Linked DNA regions of Arabidopsis thaliana. The protein of the gene in region 1 interacts with the protein of each later gene in a pairwise test. Each region holds a gene or a part of one and is shown in the gene's direction. Other genes may lie near its edges.

Region 1 (7,408 bases):
AGTTGACCTACACATTTAGTCAAACTTGCAAGCGATACGTGGATAATAGTAAACCTTAACATAAACGACATCGTTCTCCAGTAAAAATAGACCCGGCTCGATGGCTCGAGTCCTAGAAGCTTACCGGGTTCTCTCATCAAACTGCTCCATTCGGATATACTTCCACTCTCAAGTCTCACTCCCTCACAATCAATTCAAGCGATTGCCGCCCGTCGTCGCTTTCAAATTTGTTCTTCCGCCGGTAACTAATTCTCTTTCGCTTTGACTACGCTTTTGCTTCACTGCTTCGATCTCGTTCGGTTTCCTTCTGTTTGCTTCTTCAGAAATTCCTCGAATTGCTTTTGATCAATCTCAACTCAATCTGTGGATTACTATTTCATCGTGTTTTCACTTGTTGGTGCTCGGGAAAATTATGCAATTTTTCGAGTTGTTAATGGCTTTAGTTCTTCGTGTTTGCTCTTTAATGAATTACGAACTTTTTCCAAAGAGAAATAAGGTCTATTTTTTTTGGTGAAAGTAGGAGATTTTTTATGGCGGAGGGACAATTGACGAACATATCGGAGATGATACTGAAGAAGAGGAAGAAAGGGATGAGCTTGAATTGAGTAATTACGGCAACAATTACAGTAGCAGAGTGTTACATTAGTTGAAAGTTGAAAGATAGTTGTGCTCTTCATATTTTTTTATGGTCAATATCATTTTGTGGATAGAAAACTTTATCTTATAGTTTCTTAATGTTTGATGGTCAATGTCATTTTGTGGATATCTGAACACGCATCTTGACTTTTCGTTGAAGCTGCCACTTTCAATAAGATATTAGAACTTGCAGTCTGACTTTTAAATTTTCTAATCAATATCAGGAGGGCACGATTGTACTCTTTTTCCTCTTCTCCATTCAGTGCTCCTTATCTTGTGTTGTTTCCTGCATCGTCTTGATATTTGAAAGTTTGAGTAAGATGGGAAACTGTGTAGCACTAGAAATATCTTGTGATCAAACGTTGAATCATGCTTGTGGCTGCTTATTTGGTGATCGGAATTACATTCTCAAGATGGAGGCTAATCTCGAGGCTCTGCAGAATACTATGCAAGAGCTCGAGGAGAGAAGAGATGATCTGTTAAGAAGAGTTGTCATAGAAGAAGACAAAGGTTTGCAACGGCTTGCTCAAGTTCAAGGTTGGCTTTCAAGGGTTAAAGATGTTTGTTCTCAAGTCAATGATCTGCTGAAAGCTAAATCAATTCAAACTGAAAGGTTATGTCTCTGTGGATATTGTTCTAAGAATTTCATATCTGGCCGCAATTACGGAATAAATGTACTGAAAAAGTTGAAACACGTGGAAGGACTTCTAGCTAAAGGAGTTTTTGAAGTGGTGGCAGAGAAAATTCCTGCGCCTAAGGTGGAGAAGAAGCATATCCAAACCACAGTTGGGTTGGATGCAATGGTCGGAAGGGCATGGAACAGCCTCATGAAAGATGAACGAAGAACTTTGGGTCTTTATGGTATGGGGGGAGTAGGTAAAACCACGCTCTTAGCTTCTATTAACAACAAATTCCTTGAAGGGATGAATGGATTTGATCTTGTTATATGGGTTGTGGTTTCTAAAGATTTGCAAAATGAAGGCATTCAAGAACAGATTTTAGGAAGACTAGGTCTTCACAGGGGATGGAAACAAGTTACAGAAAAGGAGAAAGCCTCTTACATATGCAACATCCTCAACGTAAAGAAATTTGTGCTGTTATTGGATGATCTATGGAGCGAAGTAGATTTAGAAAAGATTGGAGTTCCACCTCTAACGCGAGAAAATGGATCCAAAATAGTTTTCACCACTCGTTCTAAAGATGTTTGCAGAGATATGGAAGTTGATGGTGAGATGAAAGTTGATTGTTTGCCACCGGATGAAGCCTGGGAACTGTTCCAAAAGAAAGTTGGACCAATCCCATTACAGAGCCATGAGGATATTCCCACACTTGCAAGAAAAGTAGCAGAAAAATGTTGTGGCTTGCCACTTGCACTCAGTGTCATTGGCAAAGCTATGGCATCTAGAGAGACTGTTCAGGAATGGCAGCATGTGATTCATGTTCTGAACTCGTCTAGCCACGAGTTCCCAAGTATGGAAGAAAAAATTCTTCCTGTTTTGAAGTTCAGTTATGATGATTTAAAAGATGAAAAAGTCAAATTGTGCTTCCTTTATTGTTCCCTGTTTCCGGAAGATTATGAAGTAAGAAAGGAAGAGTTGATAGAATATTGGATGTGTGAAGGATTTATAGATGGGAATGAAGATGAAGATGGAGCTAACAACAAAGGTCATGACATAATTGGCTCGTTAGTTCGTGCACATCTATTGATGGATGGTGAACTAACAACAAAAGTGAAAATGCATGATGTCATACGCGAGATGGCTCTTTGGATAGCGTCGAACTTTGGAAAACAGAAAGAAACACTTTGTGTGAAACCCGGTGTGCAGTTATGCCATATACCAAAGGACATCAATTGGGAAAGTTTGAGAAGGATGTCTTTGATGTGCAATCAGATTGCAAATATATCTTCTAGTTCCAACTCTCCCAACCTCTCAACTCTATTACTCCAGAATAACAAGTTGGTGCATATATCATGTGACTTTTTTAGGTTTATGCCAGCACTCGTGGTCTTGGATCTTTCGAGGAACTCGAGTCTCTCTAGCTTGCCGGAAGCAATTTCTAAGTTAGGTTCCTTGCAATATATCAACTTATCAACAACAGGGATAAAATGGTTGCCAGTTAGTTTTAAGGAGTTGAAGAAATTAATCCATTTGAATCTGGAGTTTACTGATGAACTTGAAAGTATTGTTGGGATAGCTACAAGCCTACCAAACCTGCAAGTGTTGAAATTGTTTTCTTCTCGTGTTTGTATTGATGGCAGTTTAATGGAAGAGTTACTACTCTTGGAGCACTTGAAGGTTTTAACAGCAACTATAAAGGACGCCTTGATTTTGGAAAGTATACAAGGAGTGGACCGATTGGTGAGTAGTATTCAAGCTTTATGTCTCAGAAATATGTCAGCACCGGTTATAATATTGAACACGGTAGCTCTGGGTGGTCTTCAACACCTTGAAATCGTGGGCTCCAAAATCTCAGAGATAAAGATAGATTGGGAAAGAAAAGGAAGAGGGGAGCTTAAATGTACAAGTTCTCCTGGCTTTAAGCACCTCTCTGTTGTTGAAATATTCAATTTGGAAGGTCCAAGGGATTTAACATGGCTGTTGTTTGCTCAAAACCTCAGGCGTCTATCTGTGACGCTGTCATTAACCATAGAAGAGATAATAAACAAGGAGAAAGGAATGAGTATTACCAATGTGCATCCAAATATCGTTGTTCCGTTTGGGAAGCTGGAATTCCTTGAAGTAAGGGGTTTGGATGAGTTAAAGAGAATCTGCTGGAATCCCCCGGCTCTTCCAAACCTGAGACAATTTGATGTACGAAGCTGCCTTAAGCTACCGGAAGCTGCCACTGAGTTTCCGCGACATGCCAATGAATAATGGGAGGACGGTGCTCCGGTGCTAGCTGATGGTTTCTGGCTTATGTACTAGTTTTGGAGAATGAAGCTATCGCAGATCGCAGATGTACTGCTTTTCTATCTCCCTCATTCTTGCTTGATTTGACACTCTCTGTTTGACTATATCCTTTCACTTCTTGATTTGGTTTCTGTTTGTGCACTGCTTTTGTTCCCGATTAACTTGTTTTCAAAGTTTTGAAAGACTATTTCCTTTTTCAGTTTTCACTTGTATTTTGTTTTTGTCTAATAAGTTCAAAAAATTCCAAGTGCGTTATCATTCTCTCTTTACTCTAATCTCTCTGAGTTTATTACTTTAAAAGGTTTCCTAATCTTTGTAACGCGGAAAACCGTTTTTAGCCTTCCAGTAAGAACACTAGATGGAGACGCAATTTCATGGCGGCGATGGAGAAGATCCTTGGCTAGCTCGAGACAAACTATACCATGTAATATTCTGCTTCTCAATCTCTCTTATCTTCTCTACTCTCGCCTCTTTCTCCCGCTACTCCTTTCTACGCCGTCACTCCATCTGGATCGGATCTGCTTTCTCACTCGCCGCCGGTGCGGCTAAAGAAGCTGCCGATCAAATTGGTATCTTCCCTTCCGCAGGTGCTTCCGTTAGAGACGCCGTCGCGGACGCCATTGGAGTTGTGATAGCTGCTTTGGTTCTCCTCCTCTGGAAATCTCGAAGATCACGTACCCGACCCATCCTTCCGATTTGAATCTTCTTTCTTATTGCTGCCGATTCGATTCACAGTAGAAAATATTCCGTTGAAGCTTGTCAGTGTTGTATCCACGGATAATCTCGCAATTTTTATCAAAAGTTTGATCATCACAAAATTTTGGTAATCAGTCTCCTTTGATTTTACTTGTTGAAATGAAAACATGCAACAAACAGTTTATGAGAGTATTGTTGATTCAAGTAAATCAGTTTTGAATAAAACTGTACTCAGATTATTGCTGCTAAAGTATATGATTCATGAAATCTGAAATTTTGAATTAGTTCAGTGTTTAGGCTCAATATCAAATATTCGTTTTCGCCATTTGCTCATTCATTGTGAAGATCAAGGAGAGAAACATTTGGCCTGCTTGAAACATCACATCAAAATTTGAAAACCAACAAAATTGAAAAGATTATGATGTCCAAGACCAAGACCAAAATGAATTTTGGTCAAACATGAGTCAAACATGATTTTTTTTCTTTTTCTTTTTCTTTCATCAATGTGTTTTTAGTCGTTATCTTTAATATTGCTTTTTCCTAACTCTCCTTCTATTGGCGCATTTATTTTTTCTGAATCCTAATTCATTTTTTTTTTGTTCTTAAATTAATTCCAATTTCCAAGTCCTCTTCATCTTTATTGCTTTTTTTATTCCCTAACTCTTGTTTTATTGGCATAGAAATTTTCTTCGGATCCTCCTCACTGTCTCTCTATACTCCACTCTTCATCAAGCGTTGGGTCATCGCCGTCTTCCCTTTCCTTCCCTCTCTAACGTAAGCTCCAGATTTCTTCTATTCTCTGTTTTCTCATTGAAATCCCTAGTAATGATTTTCTCTATTCTCTGGGCATTTCGTGCTTCAATGCCTTTACTCACTTCTTCTTTAAGAAAATATTTTGGATTTCTCTATGTTCCTTATCATGCATGCGACATGCGTGAATCTCTTAGCTGAGTTTTGTAAATGCTGTATCAATTTCGTCTCTTTTGCTTTCTCTAGTTTATTTTTTCCTTAAGTTCTTCCCTAGGGTTTCTCTTGCTCTGAAGATTTCCATACTATCGACTCAGTTTGCTAGAAATTGAGTCTCTTTTGGGCTTTAAACTTTGCTGCATGAACTATCTGATGTGACAGACTCATTTTAACTCTAAAAAGTTTTTCGATTTCTTAGAGATTCTATTTAGCTTGTTTGGTGAATGCATCATCCTCTTGGTTGCTATTTTTCATTTGTTATCATTCTTTTCTCCAGGTAAAGCAGGTAGGATGAGCATTTCTGATGAAGAGGCTGAGATCAGCGAGTCAGAGATTGAGGACTATTCTGAAACACCCTACCGCCTTTTACGCGACGGGACTTACAAGGTGAAGGTGAATGGACAGCTCAGATGCCCGTTTTGTGCAGGCAAGAAGAAGCAAGATTACAAGTACAAGGAGTTGTATGCACATGCTACTGGGGTTTCCAAAGGTTCTGCCACCAGAAGTGCTTTACAGAAGGCTAATCATCTTGCTTTAGCTATGTTTTTAGAGAATGAGCTTGCTGGTTATGCAGAACCTGTTCCACGCCCTCCAGTTGTTCCTCCTCAGTTAGACGAGACTGAACCAAACCCTCATAACGTCTATGTCTGGCCATGGATGGGGATTGTTGTTAACCCTTTGAAAGAAGCGGATGACAAGGAACTTCTACTTGATTCAGCATATTGGCTGCAGACCCTTTCCAAATTCAAGCCTATTGAGGTGAATGCCTTTTGGGTCGAACAAGATTCGATTGTTGGGGTTATTGCTAAGTTTAACGGAGACTGGAGTGGCTTTGCTGGTGCCACAGAGCTTGAAAAAGAATTTGAGACCCAAGGGTCCAGCAAAAAGGAGTGGACTGAGAGGAGCGGAGATTCAGAGTCAAAGGCCTATGGTTGGTGTGCACGTGCAGACGACTTTGAATCTCAAGGTCCAATAGGTGAGTACCTCTCCAAGGAGGGACAGCTAAGAACAGTTTCAGATATTTCGCAAAAAAATGTGCAGGATAGAAACACTGTTCTGGAAGAACTTTCAGATATGATTGCTATGACAAACGAAGATCTGAACAAGGTCCAATACAGTTACAACAGGACGGCAATGTCACTGCAAAGGGTCCTAGATGAGAAAAAAAACTTGCACCAAGCTTTTGCTGACGGTATTTACTGACACACTGATATGTTTCCGACTCATATAGCATTTAGGGTATCTGACTATTTTTTATACTTTATCTCCTCAGAAACAAAGAAGATGCAGCAGATGTCACTTCGCCATATCCAGAAAATCCTATATGATAAAGAGAAGCTAAGCAATGAACTGGATCGTAAGATGCGGGACTTGGAGTCTCGGGCCAAACAATTGGAAAAACATGAAGCACTAACTGAACTGGATAGGCAAAAGCTTGATGAAGACAAGAGAAAGGTAATATCGTTTTCAGTATGATACATAGGAAACAATCAGTCTGTTCATATGTATGCATTTCTCTTTTCCGAGGAACCAATGATCATTTTATGTTTTTTTTTTTGCTTTGGCAGAGTGATGCTATGAACAAATCCCTACAGTTAGCCTCACGTGAGCAGAAAAAGGCTGACGAAAGCGTCTTGAGACTTGTAGAAGAACATCAGGTATATTCCTTCATAGCACACTACTTAAACTGACTAACAAGTTAATTCCAAATTAAGGGAAACCACCCGTACCTACCTTTTTGTGTCTGAGTTTGAAACTCTCTCCTTGCCAGAGGCAAAAAGAAGATGCTTTGAACAAGATCCTTCTGCTTGAGAAGCAGCTAGACACCAAACAGACACTGGAAATGGAGATTCAAGAGCTAAAAGGCAAATTACAAGTGATGAAGCATCTGGGGGATGATGATGATGAGGCGGTCCAGAAGAAAATGAAAGAGATGAATGATGAGCTGGATGACAAGAAAGCTGAGTTAGAAGGGCTAGAAAGTATGAACTCAGTCTTGATGACAAAAGAACGCCAAAGCAATGATGAGATACAAGCAGCGCGGAAAAAATTGATTGCGGTACAGATTTCTAATGCTTTAGTGTTCTTGGGTACTGATACAGTTGCATTTTGCAATTATAACAATATGATCCTGAGAATCGTTTTCGTTTTTCGCATCTAAAATAATTCAGACATGGTCAAACACTCTAGTTTGTTGG
Region 2 (8,941 bases), on another chromosome or scaffold:
TTGAGTATAACAAGCTATCATGGCATCATAGACGAGTTTGTCTTTCTTAGACATCAGTCTAAAGAGCTCCTCAGCAGACTGAACATCTCCCAATTTTGTGTACCCTGAAATCATTGTAATCCAAGAGACACCATTCTTCTGGGGCATTGCATCGAAGTAGGTTCTTGCTAGTTTCATTTCCCTGCAATTCACATACCCGCCTATCAATATATTCCAAGAAGCCGGACTTTTCAAAGGCATTGCTGAAAACAAAGAGCATGCATTGCCCATGTCACCTTTTTTTGCATAGCTCGAGATAATCAGATTCCATGACACAGCATCTTTCTCAGGGATCTTGTCAAAGACTCTGCGAGCCTCATCTAGTTCCCCGCTTTCCAGATACCCGTGTAATAGCGAGTTCCACGAAACTGTGTTCTTCTCAGCAATATCATCAAACGCCTTCTTTGCCAGCTCAATGTAACCAAGTCTAGAATACAAACCCACCAGACCTGTCTGAACATAAACACAACCACACAATCCATTTTTCAGAGCCTGAGCATGAATCGGTTTACCATCAACCATATTCTCCATTTTACCACAGGCTCTTAACACTGAGGTTACAGCATGTGAACTTGGAGGAATCCCAGAGTTATGCATATCAATATACACGTCAACCGTTTCTTTAAACTTCCTATGCTGGCTTAAGAACCGAACTAAACACCCCCAGGAGAAAGAATCATGACCATTAAACCCCTTGAGGATTCTTTTAACATAGGTTACAATATTCCTAGAGAACTCTTTAGTGAAGTGAAGAGTTTGGTGAACCAAGATGGGTTCAAGATGGTTATAGCGGTTCACTACTAACTGTGCATGAACTTGCTTCGCCTGTTCAAGCACTACACATCTTTGAAGGAAGAATCTCAGCTTAGAATCCAACATTTGTGAAACAAACTCTAAAACCAACACAAGAACCAATCTACCAAAGACCTTCCACTATCAAAACAATCGTCATACATTACATTGATGCCTCAGTTCCTAATTTCAGCTCTTTTCTAGAGAAAGTCCAATAAGTTTGTGCTTGATGCACCGAGTCAAAATTTTAATTTCGAATCTAAAACTTTACGGTTTATATCCTGAATAATATAAGAAAGGCTTCCTAAAATAGAATGAGAGCAATTTTACCCGAAAGAGAGAGTATGAGGACTACAGTGATCGCCGAGTAGTGGTGGAGGCGTCGGCGATAGCGACGGCAACTTCTCTCTGTTATAAACCTGTTTGGGTTTTGCAATTCGCAGAAGAAGAAGATACTTCCTAAAGACTCTGACTCAAACAGAAGGTTTGATCTCTCATTTTTCTCACAATTATAATTCAAAAGTCAATTTTCTGTTATTTTCTCGAAGTGTGTATGAATTTTTTCCTCATAAATCAATAATTTCGTAGAACCATATCCATCTATCGTCACAAATATATACACACTTATAATACAATTTCATAAAGTACAAGGTTCCCTTATTTGATGAGAGTGGAGCAAAACACAAACTAAAAAATATTATGTGCCACGCTCAAAAGTGTATACTTTGGTCTATCTCATTGCACACATACCAATATGTTCCATATCCTTCTTGTTCTCCTCATGATTTTCCCAATCAACTGAGCGATGCACGATCCGATCAAATTCGACGACGGAATTAGGCTCGTTCTCGCTGGAGAAATCCCGGCGAACGAACCTCCGGTTTCAGGAGCTTTCTTTCTCATGTAGAAGCTTCTACTGCCTAATTCTCCAATTATTTCTCTTTTCTCCAAACCTGAAAATTACATTACATCAAACTTAAGTATATTTTGATTGTCTTAACCATTCAATTATGTGACAAAAAAGAGAGGTAAATCGTTAGGTTTAGTCACCATTTTCTTTATTATAGGTTATATAACTCAAGAATTATGTGATGTTTCTATGTTCACATGAGCCATGAGTAGTTTTGATATTTTCCATAACCGTTGGTGATTAAAGCAAAACTAGATATCATGGAGTATAGATATTTAATCCAATCAATCTACGTCAAACTGAAAACAACTGATTCAAAATTTCAACCAAAACATCATTTGTGCTTTTATTTTATTAATTCTATATGTAAAAACAATTATTATTTTTGGATAATTAATATATCTTACACTGGATGCTGAAATGTGACTGATGCAATTCAAAGGCAGAATCTCGATCGAGTTTTGGAGTTCTTCCTTCTTTACAGTACTTGTCAACGACAATTTTGATCGTTTCTTCGACGTTGCAACTCAGTTTAACCATTGCTCTTACCGGTCCAGGACTTCCTTCTACTGCTACACTGATTATTACTTTTGGTGCTTCTTTTGTATTACCCTGTTTCGAAAAATAATAACAAAATGAGGTTCTCTGATTTTAGAAATTTAATAGAAATGTCAATTTTTGGTATATTTATCACGATCTGATAACATGAACTGGAGAACTGACTCTAGAATTTGCAGCTGAACTTAAAACTCTTTGTTCAGCCTATATAATGGTTATATTGAAATATTTTATAATATTAGGCTTAAACTGTAAACTTTTAAATCTTTGTGGACTAAATGATGAATTCTCTTACAGAGTTGAAATCATGAATTTGTTGATTTGAAAAAATAGAAGCAAACGACTCTGACCTCTTGATTGATCGGAGATGAAGACGAGGGCGAATATAAGTTCAACAACGACGGAGACGAAGCGAAAACCTCAGAGCGAATCCTAGGCAAGTAAACGATCGGTTTTGTTTCTTCTTCCATCGGTAAACCTCTCATCGGCGATGGTCGCCGCAAGTGATTACTCTGTCCGTCGCGGTGGCGATTAAGACTCGGCTCTGAGAAGCTTCTCTCGAAAACCTTATTACTCGATTTAGAGCGATTATTCTTGTCGGAAACATATCTGAAAGCTGTTCGTCTTGTTCTGGAGCTCCGACCTCCATTTCCTACAGGATTCGAAACTTTTCTCCGGTGAATCGAATCAGACATTTCGTGAATGATGATCTTTGCTTAAGGAGGAGGAAGAAGAAAAAACAATTGAGAGGTTTTGGTGGTTTGCTTGGCAAAGAAGCGAATTAAGAGTTATTCTCTGCTTTTGCTTTGCTTTACTCTTTTATTATCTTCTTTTCTTTCATTTGTATTTTTCAAATGTTTTTCCAAATCAAATTGTTTTTTTTTTTCTTTTTAACATAAGTGTGGATTTTAACATTTAAATTCAAACCGACCAAAAAAAATACACGATTAAAGGTAGTAATATAGACGTGGTTCTTGTAATATAGTATTTATATTTCCTGTCGACGATCGATTCTTTTATAGTATGATATCTTGTGCTGATTCTTACGTACTTGTGTTTATTATAGTAAAATAGAAATGCGTTGAATTGTAGCACTGTATTAGATTAAAACTTCTATGTAATTATGGAGCTAAAATGTTTTCTGGTTAGCATACGGAGTATTTTTTAAAAAATCTATCCTTATTATGGATAAAATGTGTTGGAAAAAGGCAATAATATACTTGTACAAATGAATATAAATTTCTTGATGCATTGTTTTAGAAGATTACTTGGGAGACTCACAATCCTATAAAGTGTAAAGGAAACAAAACTATTGGATTTGTAGAAAAGTTGACACGTTAAACAAGAAAACGAGAAACCCAAACAAGTTTCGTAAAACACAAAAAATCTAAGGTGATAGTGAGAAGCACATAAACAAATGAAAAAAAACACATAAACAATTAGAGAGGAGGGAGACTCAACTAGTATCATCAATTCATTAAATTTTACGAAAGTGCTGAGTAATGGAAGTAATATAAAAAATTTATAACCAAAAACAAGAATTCATCAACGTCAAGAAAAAACAACATAAAATAAAAAGGAGAATTTGTGTGGCTGAGATTGGTCCGAGGTTTGTTTCCACTGTTAAAAGAAAGAACTTTTGGGCTTGATTTAAAGTCATTAATGGTGTGGTCGACTTCTCTTATGCCATACGCACTCATGTTCACGCGTAACGCACTTGTTTTCCACCAAGTATTTAACAACGATCGTTTGTGACCCTTTTTTATGTATACTTGAAACTTAAAAAATATGTATTATTACATTTAAATATCATTTATTGTCATGACGAAAAAATTGTAAGACTTTATAATTTCAAATGTAACGTCACTTTTCGTGATGATGTAATACCATTCTATTACTTAAATACAATTGGCCAACAGCCTCAATTTATTTCAACCTTTTGCTATCTCTATAGTATAATGGTGTCATAAAAATTCATAGACACATTCCACAAAACTCGTGTATGTATATCCGTGTCTTTATATATATGTGTATATCCAAGTGTATAATAAAGTTTTTTTTCTTAAAAAAAAAAACAGAAATTTGTATGCACCATTTAAACAATTAAAGAAAGAAAATTGGGCCTACTCCAAACACAACGCTACTGTGGAGTACATTTTATCCATTTTAATGGCCCAATAATTTATAATGGGCTTTTAGTATGGGCCATTTTGTCCCTCTTTTTTATGTTGTAAGCGAGATCTTGAGACAATGTTAGTAATTTTGGTTTAATCCGGTTCAACAAGTAAACATCACACTTGTAAACTAAACCGATAATGCCACGTCACTACTCCAAATATTCGCCAAATCATAACAGACAAAATCCAACAACAACGACGACACTCTCCTCTCTCACTCTCTCTCTCAATCTCAATCTCAATCTCACGTCAACGACCGTCGCCGTCACCGGAAGGAAACGATTTCATCATCTTCTACAATGATCCCATACGCAACAATCGAAGAAGCGTCGATCGCATTATCTCGAAACCTCACATGGCTAGAGACTCTCTGGTTCGATTACTCCGCCACCAAATCCGATTACTACCTCTACTGCCACAACATTCTCTTCCTCTTCCTCATCTTCTCTCTCGTTCCTCTCCCTCTCGTTTTCATCGAATCATCTCAATCCACCTCAGATTTGTTCAATCGCTACAAAATCCAACCAAAAGTGAAAAACTCATTCTCATCGATGTTCAAATGTTACAAAGACGTCATGAAGATGTTCATCCTCGTCGTTGGTCCATTACAACTCGTTTCTTATCCTTCGATTCAGGTTAATTTCTGGAATTTGGCTTCTAATTTCGGAATTGATGCGATTTAGGTTGATTTTGTTTTTCGTGTGTTGAAACAGATGATTGAGATACGAAGTGGATTACCATTACCATCATGTATGGAGATTGTAGCACAGTTAGTGGTTTACTTCTTGGTAGAGGATTATACTAATTACTGGGTTCATAGATTCTTTCATTGTAAATGGGGTTATGAGAAGTTTCATCATATTCATCATGAGTATACAGCTCCTATTGGTTATGCTGCTCCTTATGCTCATTGGGCTGAGGTTTTGCTTCTTGGCATTCCCACGTTTCTTGGACCTGCTATTGCTCCTGGTCATATGATTACCTTTTGGTTGTGGATTGCTTTACGACAGATTGAGGCTATCGAAACTCATAGCGGGTAAGGAAAAGGAATGGTTTTGAATTGTTTATCTTAGTTTATAATGCGTTGGGGCTATGTGGGAAGTTTCAATAGTGCGTTTACCTTTTGTTGGTGGGGCTAAGGTTAGGCACTAGCCTTTTCTGATGCTTTATTGACTGTAATTAGCTCTAGGTGATTGTTTAGAGACTGCTTAGTTAATCTTTTGTGGTCAACATGAGCAAGAAATCATTCTTGAGATGATAAGCATCTTGTCTTGTTCAAATAAGTATTTGGACAATATGATGATTGCTTGGTGCATGAAACTTGTTTCTCTGGAGATAAATTGACTTGTTTTTTTTATTTTTCGTTTTCTTTTGAAGATATGATTTCCCATGGTCTCTGACAAAGTACATTCCATTTTATGGTGGAGCTGAGTATCATGATTACCATCACTACGTTGGAGGACAAAGCCAGAGTAACTTTGCTTCAGTTTTTACTTACTGCGATTACATCTATGGAACTGATAAAGTGAGTAATGAAACTTCAGTTCTTTTCCGGTTAGCGTCTACTAATTCTGGATAAAAATTTGACAATGTGGGTATATGTTCTTATTTTCATCAGGGTTACCGATTCCAGAAGAAGCTTCTTCAGCAGGTAAATAAATACTCCATAAACTGAGACTAGCTTATCTCTCGGCATACCGCATACCCATAAACGCAGCCATCAAATTGCAAGCTCACATAACAGTATATGTGGTATCTAGTATCATCATATTGATGATATGTTTCTTGATGCTATATCTTATGAGTTGCAGATGAAGGAGAAGTCCAAGAAGAGCAACAAGCTGGTTAATGGAGGAGAGAAATTCGATTAGTAAATCTAAAACCCCTCGCGAGGTTGACTTACCGTAAGTTTCAAGCATTCTACAAATGTAGTCAATACTTAAAAATGAAAGGGTAGTTAGTTTTCTCTGTTCTGGTCTTCCCTGTGTCACATGAAAATGCTCGTGACGAGTTCCTATCTGAAGTTTTTTTTAAAACTCTTTTGGAATTGGTGTGTGTCAATAAATCCTTTTTGTATATTTTAAATGTTACATAGTGCATTCATTGGCTTGTAACAAGTTCCTACTCTGATAGTATTAAGTTAAGTTAAGTATAACTTAAGTATCTAACGTTAACAACAAGGCCCGTCTAGCTCAGTTGGTAGAGCGCAAGGCTCTTAACCTTGTGGTCGTGGGTTCGAGCCCCACGGTGGGCGTTTCTTTTCCTTTTTGTTGCATTTGAGTGGCATGATTTAAAAGGAAAATCCTTACCATAACGATAGTTGCATTGATGATGGGGGTCGATTTCACTCTCGGAAAACAAATCTAATCAAAGAAGGCTAAAACAAGCGAAACACATGCATTTACTAAAGCTGTCTCACCAAACTTGAAAACAACAGTTTTAAGTACAGTAGTAGGTACAATAACTTATTTAGTTGTTACCAACTAATTTATGACTTTAAAATCGAAACACTCTCTTCCTTCCTGTGTTTTTTCAACTAAACCTAACAACACACAGTTTTTCTTTAACACACATTTCCTTGTTCTCGTTGTCTTAGAATTACCATGGACACAGTGAATATGATAATAACTTCAAGAATGGGGTTGTAGCTGTGTGAGGCTATATTTTTTTTTTTGGTTTAATGAGGCTATATTGTAAACTACTTCAATAAGTTTTTACTCTTAAACCAATTCACGAAAGAGTTTTAATGAACTTGATATTAAGTTTTTGTCCACACATATTTTGTGTATCAACGAGTTTTTCTTTTCTAGACGTATGGATCATCACTCTTCGTTTCGTAGATTGTTAAACAATGAAGAAAGGCTTTAGCTATTCAAAATCATTTGGTGAAAAGAAATTACTCCTGATGATAGGTCTATAAATGAATTTGCAACAAATATTTCCGAACATACAATTTTAGATATCTTCTAACCTAAATAACTACTAAAAAATAACAACCTTAGTAACTTTGAATTTTCGTTTTATATTTTTAAAAAACGAAAATGTGACCCGTTCGTATCAAATATAGACGTAAAGAGATAAGATATGTTTTGTTGTGTTCTACTAAAAAGTCAAAAAACAAATACATTGAGGACCCAATTTGGCGGACTTCTCAAAGGGTAAATAATATACCAAAAATTGGAAAAATCAAAAAAAAAGAAAAATCACCGAAATTAATTAAGTAGGTACCATGTTTCGACATTTGTGCATCTTTATATAGTTTTTCAAGCATCCTCATCATACATTTTCCAAAACACATTCAAGACACGTTTTATGAGTCTATAACTCCAAAACAATGCTATAACATAAACCACACAAATTAATCCAGACACAACACTCTCACAATATGATCCCTTATCCAACCGTAGAAGATGCGTCCGTGGCGTTAGGACGAAACCTTACTTGGTTCGAGACGGTTTGGTTCGATTACTCAGCCACCAAATCCAATTTCCATGTATATTGCCACACCATTCTGGTTCTCTTCCTTGTCTTTTCACTAGCTCCTTTTCCTCTTGTGATTGTCGAATGGACCGGTTGGTTCGATCAGTTTAAGATTCAGAAGAAGGTTAAGTATTCGTTGTCTGATATGTTCCAATGTTATAAAGAAGTCATGAAGTTGTTCCTTCTCGTCGTCGGCACATTGCAAATCGTTTCTTATCCTTCCATCCAGGTTACTATTCATTTTAAATTTTCATTTATTCTTTAAAACAAACAACCAAATATTTTATGATATATGTATATTCCTTTTTTTAAGTGTTGTTTTTGCAACGTTTTTTGTGTGAGTGGGTTGTTATACAATTTTGTGCTTTTTTTTTTGGTTATTTAGAGAAAAATCCCATTAAAATATTAAATTGAAACGTTATATTATTGCATATATGTATATACCCTTCTTACAACACTTTTTTTTGTTAATTTGTGATGTTCTTGAGATATACTATATGTGTTAATTGACAGATGGTTGGGATTCGAAGTGGTTTGCCATTACCATCGTTAATGGAGATAGTAGCACAATTAGTGGTTTACTTCTTGATAGAAGATTACACTAACTACTGGATCCATAGATGGATGCATTGCAAATGGGGTTACGAGAAGATTCATCGAATCCATCATGAGTACACATCACCTATCGGATACGCATCGCCGTATGCGCATTGGGCCGAGATTTTGATTCTTGGGATTCCGACGTTTCTTGGACCGGCAATTGCTCCTGGCCATATAATGACGTTTTGGTTATGGATATCTTTACGACAATTCGAGGCGATTGAGACCCACAGCGGGTAAAACTACACTAAACAAACTTAAAATCATTATCCTGTTTAGCGTTTGTAAAAGAAAGATTGAGTGTTTAGTGATATCATTCGAAAATTCAAACGCTAAACACAAAAAAAGAATTTAGTAATATGCAAACATAGACATAAATAGTTAC
Region 3 (8,476 bases), on another chromosome or scaffold:
GGGTTTTTTTTCAGATGAGAAGAGCAGAGAAGTACTCCAAGAACTTTCAGGCGACCTCGATCCCATTATCGCTAAAGGTTGTGATTCTTCATTGAGTATCTTGGAATTTAAGAATTCAAAAAAATATGACCCTCTCATATAAAATGGTGTGTGTGGGTCTGTTGTGTAATGAAAACATCTACGTTTCATCTTCCTTTTGTTAAACTTTGTTTTGTATTCAAATGATTTGCAGACGGTTTAAGCTCTGTTTTAAGCTATTATCTCGGCCTACTTGCATTTCTTCACTTTCTCAGTGAAAGAATGATTAATTTTTTTCATTAGAGTGCACAATTGTTAATTAATATTTTCTTGTTATAGAAGCAAATTACAAAAAAGCTATCTGACAGATTCCAATGTGATCAGTTCAGTCCAAGCTGTGCTAGTGAAGTCATATTCTTGATTCAAGTAAGAGTTGTGGCTCGAAAACCAACCATTTGCAGATAAGCTTTCTCCGAGTGAGTGAGTTGAATGATCCAGTTACCCGCCCCCAAGTTATCAATCTTCCATGAATCTCTGTTTGCATCTCCTTCTAGTCATCTGAGCCCATCTCGCAAAGATCTCTGCTGCAGCAAACTTACCTGAGAACTTAGCTCTCTGTGCCAATTCCTCAAATATCTCCGGTTGTCCCCCTCTGTGGAAATCAGCTGCAAACTTGTTATAATCAATCAAAGGGGTTTTCATTCCTTTGTCAAGCATCTCCTCCAAGTATCTGCATGCCTCTCTCGACTTCCCTTCACTTATAAGCCCTCTGATCAAAACCGTGTAGGAGTTATCGTCAGGACAAATCCCTTTCTTGATCATCTCGTCCCAAACTGCTCTCCCCATCTCATAGTTTCTCGCCACGAAGTAAGATTTCATTATCATGTTGAACGTGTGTATCGATGGCTCAATTTCGTTCTGGATCATCTTGTTGTAGATCCTTGTGCCATGTTCCGGCATTTTCTGGTTCGCCATCAGTTTGATCAACGCATTATACGTTTTGCCATCCGGAGGGTGTCCCTTTTCTTGCATCTCCTTGAGCAGTTCGTAAACAGTATCCAGCTTCTTCTGAGTCCCAAACCCCGTGATCAGACACGTGTAAACCGCAGCATCAGGTTGCAACCCGGAATCAACCATGTCATCAAAGTACTCAATGGCAGTTTCCATGCTCGACTGTTTGCAGAAGTCCCGGATCATGATGGTATAGCTACGGACATTAGGGCAAGGTCCCTTGGATTTCATAACATGGAACAATTTGATCGCATCTGATTTTTTCATACTCCTCAACAACCCTTCAAGCATTACGTTGTGAGCTACAATGTCAGGTTTCAATCCGTGATCAATCATATCATTCCAGATTCTAGCTGCTTCTATCAAGTTCCTCACCCTGCACCAACCATTGAGTAGAACAGTGTAAGTCATCATATTAGGTGTAAACCTCTCCTTCAGCTTATCAAACAGAACCTGAGCTTCTTTTCCAAGCTTAGCCCTGCCAAGACTATCAAGCAAGCAATTAATGGTTTCAACACCAATCTTAAACTTGTACTTCTTCATCAACTCAAAGATACCAACAGCTTTCTTCCTCTCTTTCGCAGCAGCGAAAGCTTTCATCGCGATAGTGAATGTCTCCATCGTCAATAGACCTTTCGTACCCATCTCTTCGAGTACCGAAACCATCGTCTCGAACTGTCTAGTCTTTGCTAAAATACTCATCATGGAGTTATATGTTCTTGAAGCATGAGCAAATCCTTGTCTCTCTGCAGCCCAACAGAAGAACCTAAATGCAGGCTTCCTAGCATGTCGAAAACGTTCTAAAACCTCAACGATGAGATCATGTGATAAATCTAGTTTCATTTCATCAAGAACAGCTTCCATATTTCTATCTAACGCAAACAATTCATCAATCACTTTGCAGACTCTCTCTACTTCTTCCGGATTAGTACTTGATTCAACACAACTGACCCCAGTTTCTTCATCATTATCGCATTCAGATTCAACTTCTTCATCACATCCATCACTAACATTAGAACTACCACTAGAGAAACCTCTACACCCAAGACTCGCATCAAGCAGTTGTACAGAGGAGTGTGGCAATGGAATTTGACGGTAAGGATGATAAGTAGAAGAATGAATCATACGAGAGAAGAGAGCACCGGAAAATCGTACTTCCTCTTCTCCTCTCCCGCCGATTACGCGGCTTTGACTGGAAATGAATTCATCGGCATCGAATGAAGAAGAGCAAATGAGGAATCTTCTTAATGAAGTCTGAGTGGAGCTTCTTCTCCTAGAGAGATAGAGCCATGGAGCAGCAGCCATGGAAGCTCGACGGCGATTAGCAATGGCGAAGTCGGTGAAAAGCCACTGATTTACGGCGGAGAGCTCTTCACGTATTTGGGCCTTTGTTTGATTAGAAGCTTTGAGTGATAATAATTTTGACCCATTAAAGGCCCATTGATCTGGTCACATATAACCATTGGGTCCACCAGGAGCATTAAAGCTCAAACGCATAAAGAATTTTTATTTTTTAGTTGGAAGGTATCTGTATGCATCTTATCTTCGTTTTAGGGTCGTGATATTTTCTCAAGTTTTTCTTAGGGGACCAATTTATTTTTAGATTTATTTGATTCTATCTTACATTTCTCTTAGTTCACGTTGTCTTTGTATACGTGTTTATGGATATTACATAACTGAAAATCAAGATCAGTCAATCAGTGTAACATCAATCATCAATAACCCTGCGGGATGTATATAAAACTAAGGGATATATGAGGAAAATCAGATTCCAGATTAAGTTCATAAATATTGATTCACCTAAAATCTATAATAACATAGTAGTTCAGAAGCATGAAATAATTCTATAAAAAATCATGAATTATCTACATAAAAATATCGCATATTGTAGATAAGAGTCACCCCTGAAAGAAAAACGATAGTTTTCTGTATTTGGTTATCAATCAATCCTATGTGGGTTTATATCTTATCTAATGTAAAAATTACACAAAGGATAGTGTCTGCAAATATCTAAATGAAAACACTTAATTCCAAAATGAGAAATCAAGTGGGTTTTGCCTAGCTAATTGTATAAATAGTAACACAATCATAATCTCTTCTTCCATCAGGTCTTCTTCATAATATATTTCTTCTCTAATAATTGAAAGCAAAAGAAAACAGTTTTTTTTTTTAGAAAGGTAAAGAAATGGAGGAAACAAAGGAGAGAAAGATAGTAGTAGCAGTAGACGAAAGCGAAGAGAGCATGGAAGCTCTGTCATGGAGTCTTGACAATCTTTTTCCATATGGTTCCAATAATACACTCATCCTCCTCTACGTCAAGCCCCCTCTTCCCGTTTACTCTTCCCTCGATGCCGCAGGTTAGTCCTCGTTCTTTCACGATTCATATCTTTCCCTAATTATAATCTGTTCACTTTAGTTATAGATTTTTGTTTGGTCGATTTCCAGGGTTTATAGTGACAGGAGACCCGGTTGCAGCTTTGAAGAAGTATGAATACGAGCTCGTGGAATCGGTCATGGCTCGGTCTCGAACCGTGTACCAAGATTATGAGTCTGATGTAAGCTTATTTCTATCGATTTTTTATCACTTAATTTGCTGGATTATACTTGCTTAAAAAACTTGAGAAATTATGAGAAAGTGAATTTAATCAAGTAGTTATGAGTTAATCTGTTTATCATGAGCAATATTTAGTACAAAAAATATAACATATGATAAGCAAAATATGGTTGTTTTCAAAGAGAGTTGGCGAAATAAATGTAAATATAACCAAATTAATGTGCAGATTAATATAGAGAGACGAGTTGGAAGAGGAGATGCTAAGGAAGTTATATGCAACGCAGTTCAGAAACTTAGAGTTGATATGTTAGTAATGGGCACTCATGACTATGGCTTCTTCAAAAGGTAAGGTTTCAATCTCTTATAAGAAACAAAAATATTTTGGTTTAATGGTTATTTGATAATCATTTGATATATTTGATAGGGCTTTGCTAGGGAGTGTGAGCGAGTATTGCGCCAAACGAGTCAAGTGTCCTGTGGTTATCGTCAAGAAGCAAGCTCAAGATAATTAAGCTCATATGATTGCATTGTGTATATGTTTCGAAAGAACTGGTGTAACACTTGAATCAATCTTCGTATGCGATAATAAAATACATAACGGTTTAAACAAATTTAGCAGATATTTTTGCTTATATAAAACTAGCTGACAATGACATCAATCAACCAATTAAATTCAAATCTACATTCTCTACATACAATGCCAAATTAAAAACTAATGTAAACGCAAATTTCAATTTAACGTATAGAAGAATGTAATGAACCATATACCAAGTTTTGAATATTTGCAATTTTGTTGTTTGAACACTTAATTGTTGTTCGCTTCAAAGTTCAATAAAGGCCTCAAGGCCCAAAGTATATCTGTTACTCATCCAGTCGACACAGTCATACTTAAACGTCGCCGTTTCCGTGTTCGAAGCTTCGTGAAAATCTTCAATCTCGCGAGAGAGAAGAAGAAGAAGAAGAAGAAGAAGAAGCGATGTTCCTGGTGGATTGGTTCTATGGAGTTCTGGCAACTCTGGGACTATGGCAGAAAGAAGCGAAGATTCTGTTTCTAGGTCTCGACAACGCCGGCAAAACCACCTTGCTTCACATGTTAAAGGACGAGGTTCGTTTTCTTCGAGCCATATCAGTAATCGCTGTCTAGAATCTTGTTTCTTTTACTTAGCGCGAACGAATCAAAGTCTTAATCAGCGATAATCGTTTGATTTGGGTTTCAGAGACTGGTCCAGCATCAGCCGACACAGCATCCGACATCGGAAGAGCTTAGTATCGGCAAAATCAAGTTCAAAGCCTTCGATTTGGGAGGTCATCAGATTGCTCGTAGAGTCTGGAAGGACTATTACGCTAAGGTTTGATCTTCTTTCTTCTTTGGATTTTATTGTTAGGTCAATCAATTTAGCAAGTCTTTGGAAGGACTATTGCGCTCGTATAGTTGTATGTAGACTCTAAGCTGACTCTGTTATAGATTACAATCTTCCCTGTGCCCATATAAACAATAGTTAGATGATAGAGGTGAAGTGAAATCTTCAATGAAGTTTGTCATATAGCAATTCTCTTTTGAATGTTGCAGCATGAGGTCCTGTGATTACATTCTGCTGGTTATGTGTACCTAGTAAGCTCTTGCTGTGTACTACTCCTACTCTGTTCCTTAGCCACTGTGTTGCTCCGTTGGGTTATATAAGTTTGCAGATGATAGTTTGAAATGATTGAGCTATAGTAAAATCTTCAGATGATAGATATACATATACATCATATACTGTAGTTTAAAATGACATTGTGATTGGTATGTGGAGCCAGTGGAGGTTGAAAATTAGAAGATTGTATAGCTATAGACTACTCTTACTGTCAGTTTTAGAGTCATGAGGTCCCTTGTGATTTACATTCTCATAGCTGATGATTCCAGTGAATCAAGAGATTAATAGACTCCGGTGTTTCTATTAGCTACCCTCTTTGCATTCTATCTTCAAGTTTGTAACTTTATTATTGTCTCGTATTAGGTTGATGCAGTGGTATACCTAGTTGATGCATATGACAAAGAGAGGTTTGCAGAATCAAAGAAAGAGCTTGACGCTCTTCTCTCTGATGAATCCCTAGCAAATGTCCCTTTCCTCATCCTTGGAAACAAAATCGACATTCCGTACGCTGCATCAGAAGACGAGCTGCGTTATCATCTAGGCCTCACCAGTTTCACCACTGGGAAAGGTAAAGTGAATCTAGCAGGAACAAATGTTCGTCCTCTTGAGGTGTTCATGTGCAGCATTGTCAGAAAGATGGGTTACGGCGAAGGATTTAAATGGGTTTCTCAATATATCGACTAGATCAATCATATTTAAGTCTTATCTATCTATACTGTGTGATTGGTATCTGTACGTGTTATAACCTAATGTATAATTACGATTAATGTGTGTATACAACAAGATTTGACGGCTTTTAAATTATCAATTTTGTGTTTACAGACCAAAGTTGAATCCTATGAAAAGTGTGAACCCATTTGTCTGTGACTGTGTAACTGTGTGGGGCTTAAGAAATGGCTGTATCTTAGCTTTTTTATGAAAATTCGAAAGATGAACACTTTTACTTTAATAATGTAATGTAGAGAAAACCCCATGTGAATCGAGTTTGACAATTAACAATCACAATGTCCTACACTGAAAACCAATCAATTTGACACATAGATGTACCATAATGAGTGTACGTATATTGTTTTACATGTGTTATGTCTCTTTGTGAACTTATCATTATGTCTGTTTTTCTTCTTTCTAGGTATTGTGAAATGAACACAAACAGATCTATGGATAACCATGTATTTATTTTCATTAAAATATGTGAACAATAATACTCCAAAATAGTTCACAAAATAAGTAAAAAAATTTGCTTTTTAGCACCATCACAATGCGTCTTTGATCTCAGCCGCTTCCAAACGTTCAAGTCGCAGCGTAATAAGGCTAATAGATTAGATTTTGCGACTCAAGATTTTGCAGCTCAAGCATATATATGTCTACGGACTATGCAAATATGGATGTGTAAGAAAACTATTAGGTGCTCACTTTCTCTTTTTATAACTTTTTCAGAACATTTCTCCTTTGGACTGATTCTTCTCTACGTGGCCCAAAGTTAATATCAAAAGTTTTTTTTTAACGTATTATTTCTATCATTTGTTATTAATTTTTTCTCCTTTGGATTGATTCCTTGTTACAGTTTTTGCTCTTCTTTTTACTATGCTGTTTCTTTTTTATATTCGCCACTAGCTAGAGACTGGTTCTATGTCCCAGGACCCATGAAATACCAAGCACGAAAATGTGACCAAATGAATAATTTGATTTAAGTTTTTTGCTTGAATGAGAAAAGTTTTTTTTATATATAAAAAAATGTCAAAATATTAAAACTCATTCGATTGATTGCGTGGAGAAGAGAAAAATAAATTTAGAAGAAGTATTAACTTGGTTTTTGGGGTAAAGGGATGCACATGGATCCCTCATTCCCACGTGATATCTAAGCCAAGAACACGTGCCTCCCTCTGAGCTATCTGACTTTTATGTGATTGGTTTCAGTTTTTAGTTCAAAACCCAAAGCTTTTGGATCCAAAAGAGGTCTCTATCGTATGCATTTGAGCAAAACTAGATGATTGGTTTGATGCCCAACGCAATATTCTCTCTTTTTTACTCAATACTTCAAATTAAATAACGACGTTAATCATACAACTAGTATTATTAGTATTTGATAATAGATTCCTATCTTAAAACTTGCGCCAACTTTGACACTTATTTGGTTCTATATAAAACCCATGTCTCGGTGAAAGTCACCAGTCATAGACAATGCAATCATGTTGCAATGTCGAAACACCCAATAGTGAAAGTGTTATGTACAATATTTTTGGATGTCCACTTGTAGCTAGAAAGCTTAATATTTTATGATTTTTCAAATAATTTTTGGTTTCTGTTGGACTATATGCATTCCTATAACTTTGCAAGATACTATATAACTTATCAAAATTAAATTTAGAACTAAAACATACCATATGATAGAAGGGATTTGACGAAGTATACATATTGATGTGTATGTATATATGAAAATATGAAGGGTATTTACGTATAAATATGTATGTACATGTTGTGTGTATGATATATACGCCGTCATGGTGTGCCTCTTAAGATGCTAACATGTTTATAGAATGGGGACAGTTGCCTTTTAAGTAGACCCACTTTTAAACCAAATATTTAACTCAACACTAGTTAACTACAATTAACACGTAATCGTCGTCTTTGTAGAGTTTGTTAACTCAAGCCATCCTGGCATAGTTGTCTCGACCAATGGCACGGTGTGCACTATCATCAACTATTTAATGCTCGACTCTATCTTTTAATTTGTATTATACTAGCAGTTCTCATCTCTTATCTCTATTCTCAACTAGTTCAATTTCATACGAAAATTCAATCAAGAGTTCATATTTATATACAAATGAATAGAGTTTGGTTTGTAAGAATATAGAGAATCATTGATGTAAAAAAATGTTCATATAGCTTTGTAGAAATTCGTTTATTTATCATGGAAATATAGGATTTCAAGGGAAAACTGTATTTTTTACCCATTTTTTATTTATACAAGGGAGAATAGAAAATTGTAATACATAGTTAAAGATCGATATTATATTCTGAATGATTAACACCTATGTTGTAAATTGAAGCCAATACACATACATTGCCTATAAGTCCAAAAATGTGGAAGGAAGTTGTACCTATAATATAATCATTTTATGAGCTGCATTATTATTATTGCTGTTATATTCAGTTCCCAATCATAAAGGCTACCATCCCTTGCTATATAGTTTTTTTTTTTCTTTAAGAATCCTATGAAAAAAGTTGGATATTTATTTGACATTACATATTGTTTTCA

The links.
Region 2: the proteins of AT1G15900 (region 1) and SMO1-2 interact in a protein complementation assay, tested with the Arabidopsis thaliana proteins (one large-scale study listed by BioGRID).
Region 3: the proteins of AT1G15900 (region 1) and AT3G62560 interact in a protein complementation assay, tested with the Arabidopsis thaliana proteins (one large-scale study listed by BioGRID).

What each region holds. Positions count from the first base shown.
Region 1 is NC_003070.9:5,460,450-5,467,857, forward strand, and holds AT1G15900 (uncharacterized protein), read left to right. Parts: upstream 1-3,823; 5' UTR 3,824-3,906; coding exon 3,907-4,248; 3' UTR 4,249-4,498; downstream 4,499-7,408. Other genes in the region: AT1G15885 (uncharacterized protein), read left to right, coding at 101-241, 521-646; AT1G15890 (Disease resistance protein (CC-NBS-LRR class) family), read left to right, coding at 957-3,512; FDM1 (XH/XS domain-containing protein), read left to right, coding at 5,502-6,402, 6,484-6,665, 6,779-6,868, 6,982-7,269.
Region 2 is NC_003075.7:11,952,530-11,961,470, reverse strand, and holds SMO1-2 (sterol C4-methyl oxidase 1-2), read left to right. Parts: upstream 1-4,552; 5' UTR 4,553-4,775; coding exon 4,776-5,111; intron 5,112-5,189; coding exon 5,190-5,512; intron 5,513-5,853; coding exon 5,854-6,001; intron 6,002-6,094; coding exon 6,095-6,127; intron 6,128-6,287; coding exon 6,288-6,347; 3' UTR 6,348-6,631; downstream 6,632-8,941. Other genes in the region: AT4G22760 (Tetratricopeptide repeat (TPR)-like superfamily protein), read right to left, coding at 1-918; AT4G22758 (PPR containing protein), read right to left, coding at 1,567-1,784, 2,149-2,353, 2,650-2,994; AT4G22755 (methylsterol monooxygenase 1-3), read left to right, coding at 7,862-8,185, 8,470-8,792. UniProt on the Arabidopsis thaliana protein: Non-heme iron oxygenase involved in sterols biosynthesis by catalyzing the removal of the first methyl group at the C-4 position. 4,4-dimethyl-9-beta,19-cyclopropylsterols such as 24-methylenecycloartanol are the preferred substrates.
Region 3 is NC_003074.8:23,132,980-23,141,455, forward strand, and holds AT3G62560 (Ras-related small GTP-binding family protein), read left to right. Parts: upstream 1-4,306; 5' UTR 4,307-4,559; coding exon 4,560-4,688; intron 4,689-4,800; coding exon 4,801-4,932; intron 4,933-5,580; coding exon 5,581-5,901; 3' UTR 5,902-6,166; downstream 6,167-8,476. Other genes in the region: AT3G62530 (ARM repeat superfamily protein), read left to right, coding at 15-142; AT3G62540 (Pentatricopeptide repeat (PPR) superfamily protein), read right to left, coding at 535-2,334; AT3G62550 (Adenine nucleotide alpha hydrolases-like superfamily protein), read left to right, coding at 3,215-3,386, 3,475-3,584, 3,810-3,928, 4,008-4,095.